Callithrix jacchus: one gene and its partner. The protein of the gene in region 1 interacts with the protein of each later gene in a pairwise test. Links are inferred from orthologs where the notes say so. Each region holds a gene or a part of one and is shown on either strand. Other genes may lie near its edges.

The links. The genes of interacting proteins can lie anywhere in the genome.
Region 2: the proteins of DAB1 (region 1) and CLASRP interact in a two-hybrid assay, tested with the Homo sapiens proteins (2 studies listed by BioGRID and IntAct). The link is inferred for Callithrix jacchus from reciprocal best matches to the Homo sapiens genes DAB1 and CLASRP.

Annotation. Positions count from the first base shown.
Region 1 is NC_133508.1:94,280,475-94,286,758, reverse strand, and holds the start of DAB1 (disabled homolog 1), read left to right. Parts: upstream 1-2,322; 5' UTR 2,323-3,382; coding exon 3,383-3,494; intron 3,495-6,284. UniProt on the Homo sapiens protein: Signaling adapter of the reelin-mediated signaling pathway, which regulates the migration and differentiation of postmitotic neurons during brain development.
Region 2 is NC_133523.1:39,238,608-39,245,026, forward strand, and holds the start of CLASRP (CLK4-associating serine/arginine rich protein), read left to right. Parts: upstream 1-2,848; 5' UTR 2,849-2,912; intron 2,913-3,199; exon of another isoform or gene 3,200-3,610; intron 3,611-3,944; 5' UTR 3,945-3,973; coding exon 3,974-4,072; intron 4,073-6,419. Other genes in the region: transcription factor RelB, read left to right, coding at 1,569-1,954. UniProt on the Homo sapiens protein: Probably functions as an alternative splicing regulator. May regulate the mRNA splicing of genes such as CLK1. May act by regulating members of the CLK kinase family.

The sequences.
Region 1 (6,284 bases):
ACTCTGTCACAGGGTGGGTGATTTCTAAATGTACAGTGCATAGACACTCAGAAGGGAGAAAATGTTAATGAGTTGGTTTTATTTTCAAACCGAAGCTAGAAGCTGCTTATAACCCTTGTCATTTTTTTCCAGCTCATATTTTAATATCCTTCCACCTTATTGGAGGTTTGGCAGACAGAGTTTATGGAAGAAGCATATTTTCATATATTGTAGTTTATGTTTATTATATGTATATATTCTCATTATTTTATGTGCAAAGAGTGTTTCCTATGTGATGCTCTTTAGGGAGATAATGTGCAAAGAGATCTTCTATTTCATTTTTACTAACACCACCGCAGTTTGCTAAATCATCACCATCAAACCACACTTTAATTTAATCTACTTTATTGCCTTCCAAAGCATTTCCTATGAGCAAGATTACATTCCCCGGGTTTTAAAAATAACTGACTCTAAAACATGCAAGTGAAATTAAGCAAATGTTTTGTCTTCTTCAGCCTTTTTGTGTCTGTCGTCATGTGTGAATAATGGAACTTACTGACTTGGGGTGAGGAGAAGAGGAACATACCAAAGGGGATGTAAAACCACGTGCTCTCCTGAGTAGTTCATGGATTTGGAATTAGATGAATCTGGCACTAAAATTTGGCTCTACTGCTATTTAACTGTGAGACCTTGGGTAAATTACTTAATATTTCAAAGCTTCGATTTCTGCATTTGTAAGTCGAGAATAATTGTACCTAGTTCATGTTGTGGCTTTAATGCCCATTTTAAAAAAGAAAATACATATAGTGCTTCGCAATGTTCTGGTACATACTAGGAGCTAAAGAAACAACAGCTGTTGTTAGTAGTTAAAATGCTACATTTCATCATGTGGTTTCAGTCAAGTCATTGAAGTTTCTTTTTTTTGTTTCTTTTGAGAGAAGTCTCACCCTGTCGTCTCAGCTGGAGTGCAGTGGCACTATTTTGCCTCACTGCGACCCCCACCTCCCAAGATCAGGCGCTTCTCATGCCTCAACTACCAGAGCAGCTGGGATTACAGGCACACACCACCACACCCAGCTAATTTTTGGATTTTTTTTAGTGGAGATGGGATTTCACCGTGTTGGCCAGGCTAGTCTTGAACTTCTGATCTCAAGTGATCTGCCCACCTTGGCCTCCCAAAGTGCTAGGATTATAGGCATGAGCCACCGCATCTGACCAAGTTATCGAACTTTCTGTGCCTCTACATCCTCATCTCTAAAAGGGGGATTTTGATGGCAATCTCCCTAATAGGTTTGCTGTGTGGGTCAAATGGATCCACAAAGCACTTAGGAAGTACCTGGCATATGATAAATCTTCAGAAAACATTGGCCTCTATTATTACTAATCTCAGTTATTATCATGTATAGGTGTTTCTTGCTTTCAAATACCAAGTAAAAGTAAATTTTCAAACTACATAAAGGCTAAGTTTTGAATTGCACAAGCAAAAATCAGTATTGGCATTACTGATTCTCATTGTGATATACCTGCAAGTGAGAAATATTTTTAATTTCTGATTTGTGTTAACAATTGCCTTTGTTGTGGCAACTGTAATATTCTGGGGTCTTCATTGCCACTTAGTGTGGTTGATCCTTTGAAAGGTGCCCAGTGACTCAAGTGACAAAAATGACCTTAATTAAACAGAATTGCCAACACCGGTGTTCAGCTAAGACCAAGAATAATTAAAGCCCTTTCTTTAACCAAAGCCTCTCCTTATTATGCTGTCCAGGACTTCAATAGATGGTCCAATCATGTTTGCTAATCTTCCTGGCTTACCAAGAGCCCACCTGCCTCCCACACTCACTGCCAGGTCATCTCCTGCTTCGTGATGAACAAGGAAAGAAAAGAGAAATTTGCCAAAAAGGTAGCTTGGCAGCCTCATGTCCAGCTCTGGGTATTGTACCATGGTGAGGATGGCCACACTGAGCTAATGTAGCTAACACTGGCTCCACCTTCAACAGAGACTACTTGCTCATGCGCCAGAAATGCTTTTTTAAGAACAGCTTTTTGGAGGTAGAATTGATATGCAATGAATTGTACATTTTTAAAGTCCACATTTTGAGACATCTTGACTCAAATTTATGTGTATACCTTATCAAACTGTTACCACAATCAAGGTTACGAAACATCCATCACTTTCAAAACATTCCTTGGCCCTTCATCATCCTGCCCTCCCACCCCTTCCTCCTACTCTCTATCCCCACCCCATTCTCACAATACTGACTGCTTTCTGTTTCCTCACGTGTTTTCATTCTCCACAATTTATCTATATATTCATACATGTACTATTTTTTGTCTGGCATATTTGAGTTTGCATAATTATTTTTTAAGGAAAATTTGAAGCCACACTGCCTACCTACAGAGTTGGGCCCTTAGACTACTTCTAGTATTAGCCACCAATCATTGGGTTGGTGAACTACTCATAGGGATTCCAAGTGCGCATCTCCTTAAATTCTCACAACTCTCTTCTTTAATGCCATTTCATGGACCAGAAAACTGGCCTGAAGTCACACAATTAGGAGATACTCTAATGCCAGCTGATCTGACTTAGAGCATGTGTTCTTTCCACCTGACTGGTGTCTGGAAGCAGTTCAGGATCTGGTTAGGAGCCTGACTCTGATTTCAGAGAGAACTGGGTTCAGCCCTCAACTGCAGCACCTCCAGTGATGACAGCTTGCAGAAGCTACTTAATTGTTTCCCAGCTTAGCTTTCCTCACTGTAAAACAGGAATATGATGGGAAAAGGCCAGCATATTCTTAAAATAATAAGAGTGCATGTAAGTGCTCAGCCTTGTATATCTGAAGTATTCCATGAAAGTTATGTATCTTTATTGTTAATGCACTTTGCTTCCTCAATAAATATATGTTTAGTGAGGGCGGAATAAGTGCCCTTTAGTATTGAATGGACTCCCTTGTGTTCAGGAGGGTGAAAGCAAGAGAAAGAGGACAGGAAGTCATATTGAACCTTATGTTGCTGTTTTAACCCAGTGGATCACTGCCTGACTTCTGCTAGATTCCATGTTTGATGGATGCATGATGGATGAATGAAGGAATCAGAGTGCTGTGTCAACAGTAGCACCACCATGATTCAGAGAGATAGAGAAGCCCAAATCAGACAGGGGTATATTATATCCACACGTCCTATTGAAGGTAGAACTTGGAAACTCATTTTCTGTTTGTTAATCATTTTCTATTCTTTACCCTAAGACCCAAGACTCAAAGTTATTACGCTTTCTGCTGTTACTAATTAGCATATATAAAATAGGCACGTGGATGAGAATGAGCCTCTTGTCCCCCCATCTGTCTATAAGCAAAACCTCAGGACACTGTGTTGATTGCATTCTAGTGTTTGGTTGCCGGGGCCCTCAATGGTTGTGGCTGTGTTCCATGGTTTCCTGAGGACTGGCTGGAACTGTGTTTCTACGTGCCTCCCATGGAACCAGGATGTCTGCATGGCACACAACCGTCAGGAGCACTCAGGTTCGTGGGTTTCAGATAGAAGGAGAATTTTAATTTGTCACTGAGAGTTGAGGATGTGCAAAGGGGGCTGACTGAGTAAAAGAATTGTATGCACCTCAGGTGTTAATGGAGTTTGTTTCTTAACCAAGACTCAGAGGGAAAGGGCTTTTCCATGTGCTACAGCATGTTAGAGGAAGAACCATATCTGGCTCACACGGTGTGGGACTGCTCTTTTCTTTTTCAGCAGTCATCAGAGTCTTTTATTTATCACTGTCTTTGAAGCATCAGGAGAAGCATCTAATAATAAAGTATTTAGGACTTAGTGAGTGCTTACCACATGCCAACGGCTGTTCTCAGCACCATACATACATGAAGTCACTCAGGCCTCACTAAACAGGAGCATCCATTAAAGACAGGTAGACTTGTCCCAAACTCGGGTATGTGGCCAGCTCTGAGAAGCGTTTCAACGTTTGTTGGCAGAAAACTTCAAAGGGAAGAAAAAAGAAAAAAACACCACAGGTCTGTCTCTCTGGGGGTGGGATTGAGCAATTTATTCTTAACAAGCCCTCCAGATGATTCTAATGCCCACTCAAGTTTGAGAACCACTTCTCTAAAGTAACCTCTCTTTGGGCCCTGCTTCTGTTCCCAGATATTGAGCTGGGATAAACACGGATTTGAACACTGTGCCTCCAGCGCCTAGCACTGCCCATAACACTGAATTCTGTTCAGTCCTTCCTAGCACAGGATAACCCTCTGAACTAAGAATCACTATTATAGCCATTTTACAGATAAGGAAATGGAGGCATAGGGAGGTTAAGTAACTTGGCCAAGGCCGTATCCTAATAACTGCTGGAACCAGGATCTGAACCAGAGTCTCGCTTAAGTGACCACGTTCTTACTCTACACTGTGGTGTTTCTCATTCTAATGGAATTTGTTTGTGAAAATTCATTAATTACCTAATTAATTAAAAGTGGAAATTTGGAAATATGTCTAAAAACCAATAGAGAAGTTGGTTGGTGCTTTAGAAAATACATATGCGGTGGATGAACCTGGAAGATATTATGTAAGAGAAATAAGCCAGGCAGAAGGAGGCAAGTACTGCATGACTTCACTTCTATGTGGGATCTAAGGAAGTCACACTCATAGAGCAGAGAGCAGAGTGGCGGTTACCAGGGACTGGGGGTGGTGGTGGAGAAGACTGGGGAGATGTTGATCAAAGGGCACAAAATTTCACTTAGACACTAGGAAGAGGATTAAGACATCTCTTTTACAACATGGTGACTGTAGTTAACAACACTGTGTACTTGCAAATTGTTAAGAGTATAGTAGAGTTTAAGTGTTCTTGCCACACACACACACACAAAAGATAAATACGTGAGGTAATGCATGTTGTTTAGCTTGGTTTAGCCATTTCACAATGTGTACATATTTCAAAACATATTGTACATTGTAAATCTGTATACCTTTTATCTGTTGATTAAAATTTTTAAAAATTTAAAAAAGTTCTAGAATTAGATTGTAGCGATGGTTCTACAACCTTATAAGCATACTAAGAACCACTGAATTGTACGCTTTAAAATGGTAAATTTTATGATATGTGAATTAAAACCTCAATTTAAAAAAAATACACATGATAATGAAATTGTGGGATTTTCATCAAGGGAGGACTGACCCACCCACCTACATGTCATCGATGTTGCTTTGTCTCTTGCTGGAGGAGGATGGGAAGGTTCAGTGCAGGTAGAGAACACAGAAGGGAGATTGTAGTACTATAGTAAGAAAGAACAGAGTAAGGATGTTGCTGATGGGGATGGTGATGCTAACAGCAGTTCACCCTTGATTGAACCCTTACAGTGCTCCTTTCACTGTTCTCAATGCTTTCCTTGTGTTAACTCAATTAACACTTTCATGGTCCAGTAACCTGAGGCCTGGGAAGGTTGAGTCATTTACCCAAAGGCATACATCTAGTAAGTGGAAGGGGGGGATTTGAAACCTCATATATAGGTGCAGTGCTTTTATTTTAGCCCAACATTCTTTTTTCTTTTTTTTTCTTTTGAGATGTGGAGTCTCACTTGCTGTCACTCAGGCTGGAGTGCGGAGCCACTAACTTGGCTCACTGCAGCCTCTGCCTTTTGGGTTCAAGTGATTCTCCTGCCTCAGCCTCCCAAGTAGCTGGGACTACAGGCGCCCACCACCATGCCTGGCTAATTTTTGTATGTTTAGTAGAGACGGGGTTTCACCATGTTGGCCAGGCTGGTCTCCAACTCCTGACCTCAAGTGATCCACCTGCCTCAGCCTCCCAAAGTACTGGGATTAAGGCATGAGTCACCACACCCAACTTTAGCTACAAGACTCTTAATCACTGTACTGTGCTCTTGTGTGACCCTAAGAGCAGTGATTATATTTGTGGTATTAGCTCATGCCATGCTGTTATTTATAGTATGGTCCTCTGTTTAATTTCACTTCCATCCTATCTTTTTATATCTTTCTCAACCCTGGGAGTTGAGTAGCGGTAGGTATTATCATCTACATACTATGATTAAAATTTTAGAGCTCAGTGGCCCAGGAAGAGTGCGTCACTACCCCACAAGGATCAAAAGTCTGTCTCGCTACGCCATACTAGTCAGTGATCCACACATCATGGTATATGATAAGCTCTTCCAGGTGTGCTCCAACGTTTTGATCAGGATGGAAAATTAATTTTTACCCTGAGGCACCACTGTTATGGAGGCGTCTGTGCACAGAACTTTGAGTACAGCCCATTGAAGGATGAGTTGTAGAACACTGTTAAACTTTCTGTTTGCAAGTTG
Region 2 (6,419 bases), on another chromosome or scaffold:
CCTTGTCTCTACTAAAAATACAAAAATTAGCCAGGTGTTGTGGTGGGCGTCTGTAATCTCAGTTACTCGGGAGGCTGAGGCAGGAGAATTGCTTGAACTTGGAAGGCGGAGATTGCAGTGAGCCAAGATTGTGCCACTGCACTCTAGAGCAAGACTCTGTCTTAAAAAAAAAAATACTGGCTGGGCACACTGGCTCACGCCTGTAATCCCAGCACTTTGGGAAGCCGAGGTGGGCGGATCATGAGGTCAGGAGATGGAGACCATCCTGGCCAATGTGGTGAAACCCCATCTCTACTAAAAATACAAAAAAATTAGCTGGGCATAGTGGCACAGTAGTCCCAGCTACTCGGGATGCTGAGGCAGGCAAATTGCTTGAACCCAGGAGGTGGAGATTGCAGTGAGTCGAGATCACGCTACTACACTACAGCCTGGGTGACAGTACGAGACTCTGTCTCAAAAAAAAAACTCCTGATCTCAGGTGATCCACCTGCCTCGGCCTCCCAAAGTGCTGGGATTACAGGCGTGAGCCACCATGCCTGGCCCAAGAATCCCTCTTATAATGAAACTTTTTAATTTGATTTTTATTTTTTCTTAAGTCCCCATTATGCCTGAGAATGACACTTATTTTTTCTGACAATTTTGGGACTTGTGACTTCCCAACTTGCGTCTCCTATGGTCTGGAGCTTTTACTTTTTGGGTTGTCTCTCTATGTTGGGGTGCTTTGGAACGTCTTCTCCTTTCTCACTGTTGGGGAAAACTCTCCATGGCCGTGTAGGTGGATGGCTTCAACCCTAGCTCCACAACAGCTGTGAGCTTTCCAGTTACACTCCCTGGGCGCCTTGGTTTACTTGTTATTATCACTACTTTTAGAGATAAGGTCTTGCTCTGTTGGTCAGGCTGGAGTGCAGTGGTGGGATCATAATTCACTGCAGCCTCAAATGGGGCTCAAGTGATCCTCCTGCCTCATCCTGCCAGGTAGCTGGGACTACAGGTGTGCACCACCATACCCAGCTAACTTTTAAATATATTTTTTTGTAGAGACAGGATCTTGCTGTGTTGTGTTGGGATTACAGGCATGAACCACCATGCTTGGCGTTCAATTTACTTATTCTCTGAGAATGGTGACAGTCCCACATGGATTCTCCTTGGGATTAAGAGGGTACCTTAAGGCCAGGCACAGTGGCTCACGACTGTAATCCCAGTACTTTGGGAGGCCAAGGCAGGTGGATCACCTGAGGTCGGGAGTTTGAGACCAGCCTGGCCAACATGGTGAAACCCCGCTTCTATTAAAAAGACAAAAATTAGCCGGGCGTGGCACTTGCCTGCAGTTTCAGATATTTGGGAGACTGAGGCAGGGGAATCACTTGAACTGAGGAGGCAGAGGTTGCACTGAGCCAAGAGTATGCCACTGCACTCCAGCCTGGGCAACAGAATGAGAGTCCATCTAAACAAAAAAAAAAAAGAGGCCACCTTGATACCACATTTTGCAGGGATGGGGCATTCGAGTTAGGGCCTGGTCAGAAGTTGGCCCTAAGTCACACTGCACTTCTCTCTGTTCATCCTCATAGGCCCGTTCCTCCCGCCTTCAGCCCTGCTGCCAGACCCAGACTTCTTCTCTGGCACCGTGTCCCTGCCCGGCCTGGAGCCCCCTGGTGGGCCTGACCTCTTGGACGATGGCTTTGCCTACGACCCCACAGCCCCCCCACTCTTGACCATGCTGGACCTGCTGCCCCCCGCGCCGCCACACGCCAGCGCTGTTGTGTGCAGTGGGGGTGCTGGGGCTGTGGTTGGGGAGCCCCCCGGCCCTGAGCCGCTGACACTGGACTCCTACCAGGGCCTGGGCCCCGGGGACGGAGGCACCGCCAGCCTAGTGGGCAGCAACATGTTCCCCAATCAGTACCGTGAGGCAGCCTTTGGGGGCGGCCTCCTGTCCCCTGGGCCTGAAGCCACGTAGCCCCGTGGTGCCAGAGGAGGGGCACTGGGTGGGGAGGGAGGTGGAGGAGCTGTGCAATCCCAACCAGAATGTCCAGCATCCCCATCCCCTTGGCCCACCCTTGGGTTGGTCTTCCTCATGCTTCTGAAGCGGACATATTCAGCCTTGGCGAGAAGCTCCGTTGCACAGGTTTCCCCTTGAGCCCACTTTACAGATGAGGAAACTGAGTCCGGAAAGGGTATGCTCCCGTGCACTAGCTTGTTACAGCTGCCTCTGCCCCCACATGTGGGGGCACCTTCTCCAGTCGGTTTCGGAAAAGACTACATATGAGAGGAGGGGGCAGATCCATGGCCCTCCCTCCCCAGACTTGAAGGGGTGGGGGTGGGGTAGGTTGTTAGAGTCTTTCCAATAAAGATGAGTTTTTGAGCCTCGGGGGTCTCGTCTGTTCTGCGCTTGGGAAATGCCCCAGTCCTTTACACAGCAAAGAAAGCCTTCAGCCTGGGGGCTTACGCCTGTAATCCCAGTACTTTAGGAGGCAAGGCGGGAGGATCGCTTGAGACCAGCCTGGGCAACATGACGAAACCCAGTTTCAACAAAAAATACAAAAATTAGCCGGGCTGAGTGGTGCCCAGCTACTCCGGAGGCTGAGGTAGGAGGATGGCTTAAGCCCGGGAGGTGGAAGTTGCAGTGAGCCCAGACCGCACCACTGCACTCCAGCCTGGGTGGCAATGCGAGGCCCTGTCTCAAAAAATAAACAAAATTTTAAAAAATAGCGAAAATACCCGAGCTCCACCCTTCGTTCTCCCACTTCAACTTCCTCTGGACTCCGCCCCTCTCGACTCTAGGACCCGCCCCTCACGTCGGCGGAAGTGCGCTACGCGGCGGTCCACCTCCGCCCCCTCCTCCTACCGCAGCATTCCATTTCCGTTTCCGGTGCGGGCGGCGCGCTAGCGCAGCGGTGGGAGGCTGCTACCAGCCGGTGAGTGCGGGCGGCGGGCTCGACCTTCCGGCTTTCGGGCAGGCGTCAGCCCAGCTTCTTCCTTTCCTCGGGCTCTCCCCATGCTGCTGTAGGCCTCTGCTGCGTCCCGGCCCCGAGATGGCTTGTTCCTCACCCCCTTCGGCCTGACGGGCCGAAGGCCGCGCCCTTGCCCCAGAAGTCGCCGCGTTTCTCTTGGCTTTCGGCCCAGCAGCCTGTCACAGGCCCGCCCCCTTGTCAAAAAAAAAAAACAAAAACAAACAAAAACCTAGCCCAAATCCTCCGGCCGCGACGCGATCTACAAGCCCGGTGCAAACCCTTGATCTCTTCCTCGCCCGCAAGCCCTGCCCCCAAGCTCAGCCCACGCCCTCCCGCCAGCCAGCTCCGCCTCTCTCAGGCTTTACCCTCTTTTTCCCTGGATACTGTCTCCACCACGACATCTAGATCCCCTCTTTAGACCTCACCTTCACTCTGGTCTCCTTGCAACACCCCCTCCCCGTGTTCCCACTCCCTCTAGCATCTTCATCTTCCGCCACACCCTTCACCCGTCCTCGACCTCCCCCTTCCTACAACTGCACTTGCTCCCTTAAAGACTTTCTCCGATTTCTTCTATCTGCCTTCATCCTTATCCTCCTCATCTAGCATGGGGCAGCCTTTTCAGCTCTTCTCTTTCCCTTGAGATCCAGCCTCAGGTGCTCAAGGTTTGCCTTCTGACTTTACTTCAAACACTACTCATGTTTCAAAACCTTCCATCTCTGACTCCAGCACGTGGAGTCTAGGACACCCCTTTCCCAGGGATGCTCACCTCAGAATCACCTGAGGGTTTTTCAGATTGCCCAAGCTGCCAGATGGAAGTTGTTAGAGGTGGACTTGAACATCTGGCACACCGTTCTGAAGCCATACTTCTGCTCCCTGAACCTAAGAGATGTGTTGTTTGAGATTGACTCTGTCACCAACCTTTTAGATGACTTTGATTCTGCCCATATAGTTTTTACAGCCTATCTGACGCTCCTGGTACCTTTCTTTATCCCTCAGGTTGAGGCCCCACGCTTGGCCTCACCACAATGTGGCACGAGGCTAGGAAGCATGAGCGGAAGCTTCGAGGTATGATGGTCGATTACAAGAAGCGGGCAGAGCGGAGACGGGAGTATTATGAAAAGATCGTGAGTAACTGGCCTTTCGTCTCTGGTGTGGGACCCTGGGTTGGGGGCTGAAGCTGGTCATCCTGATAAAATCTGGACTTGGAAGTATGCCAGGACAAGAGCTTCATTTCCTCAGGAGTATATTCGTTAATTGTTTCTTGAGCGTAATCATCGATAAGATCCCAAGGGCTTCTGTGTGTCGTAGCATACTGTGTCATTTGGTCAGTGCCAATCAGGTGTTAGCAAGAAGAAGGGAAATCTCTGTAATGCTCAGAGCAGTCCTGACGTTAGATTGGCCACCTCCAGAATGTTGTCTGTTTTGCTTATTGCTGGCTTCCCATGCCCGGAAGTATTTGAGATTTGGCTTGGCACACAACAGGAGTGAGTATTAAGTTGGCTGGGTGTGGTGGCTCACACCGGTAATCCTGGCGCTTTGGGAGGCTGAGGTGGGTGGATCACCTGAGGTCGCAAGTTTGAGATCAGCCTGGCCAAAATGGTGAAACCCCGTCTCTACTAAAGATAGAACAATTAGCCAGGCGTGGTGCTGTGTGCGTGTAATCCCAGCTACTTGGGTGGCTGAGGCAGGAGAATTGCTTGAACCTGGGAGGAAGAGACTGCAGTGCGTGGAGATTGTGCCACTGCACTCTAGCCTGGGTGACAGAGCAAGATGGTCTCCAAAAAAAAAAGGGGGAGTGAATACAAAATGAAATCTGACCACTTCTGTCTGCTGTTTGATGCTTCACTTGCTTTTGGGGAGAAGACCAAAGTATCCCTGGTCTAAAAGACTCTTGTGGTCTCACCACTCAGCTTCATCCTTGGACAGCTCCACTGGCCTTCTGTTTCTGCCACCACAGGGCTTTGGCCTGAAATGCCGCCTTCTCACCTGTTTAACTCCTGTGTATCCTAGGCTGGGCTTGGTGGCTCAAGCCTGTAATCCCAGCACTTTGGGAGGCCGAGGCAGGTGGATCCACGAGGTCAGGAGTTCAAGACCAACCTGGCCAACATGGCGAAACCCTGTCTCTGCTAAAAATACAAAAAACTTCGCTGGGCGTGGTGGCACATGCCAGTAATCCCACCTATTCAGGAGGCTGAGGCAGGAGAATCACTTGAAACCGGAAAGTGGAGGTTACAGTGAGCCAAGATCGTGCCACTGCACTCCAGCCTGGGCAACAAGAACAAAACTCTGTCTCAAAAAAACAAGCAAACAAACAAACAAAAACCTCCGGTGTATCCTTGGTATTCCAGCTTGAAATGGCACCTGTTTACTAGCTTCAGTTCTGTTAGATGACATTTATTTAGACATTCCCCATTTACTCCTGTATTACCACCCCAGCCTCCTCCCTGGTCTGCTGGCCGCCAGTTCTGGCCCCTCCAATCTGTCCTCCCCAGAAGGGTCTGAGAGGCCTTTCAAAAGCACAAAACTGACCTTGTCCCTTCCTTGCTCAGAGTACCTTCATGGCTCCTAAGTGCCCTTGAGAGAAAGCCCAGGCTCCTCACTTTGGCCTTTGGACCCTGCATGGCTTGGCCGTTGCCCCTCCTCTAGACTCAGCGCCACCCCACACTCTGCCTTGTTCATTTGTGAAAGTTATTTTGGCCTCCTTGCTATTATTCCGCCGACCCAGGCATGACCTGGCCACAGGACTTGTGTATGACCTCTTTCCATACCTGGTTCACTACTGCCTGTCTGTCAGATCTCAGTTGTCAGGGAAGTCTTGTTTCCCAGGCTCCGTCAAGTGTCCTTTAAAAATGCCGTCATCATTGCTCCCTTCCCCTCTGTGGAATTTAACACACTTAAGATACACATACATGGGCCGGGCACAGTGGCTGACGCCTGTAATCCTAGCATTTTTGGAGGTTGAGGCAGGATCACCTCAAGTCAAGTTTGAGACCAGCCTGGCTAACATAGTAAAACCTCATCTTTCCTAAAAATACAAAAATTAGCAGGATGTGGTGGTGGGCGCTTGTAATTCCAGCTACTCGGGAGGCTGAGGCAGGAGAATCACTTCAACCTGGGAGACAGAGGTTGCAGTGAGCTGAGATCATGCCACTGCACTCCAGCCTGGTGACAGAGCAAGACTCCATCTAAAAAAAAAAAGAAGAAGATGTACATACGTGCACAGGTTGAACATCCCTAATTTAAAAATCCAAAATGCTCCAAAATCTTTTCTTTTTTGAGACAGTCTTGCTCAGTCACCCAGGCTGGAGTGCAGTGGCACCATCTCAGCTCACCGCAACCTCCGCCTCCTGGGTTCAAGCTGTTCCCCTGCCTCACTCAGCCTCCTGAGTAGCTGGGATTGCAGACGTGTGCAACTATTCCTGACTAATGTTTGTATTTTTGATAGAGATGGGGTTCTTTCATATTGGTCAG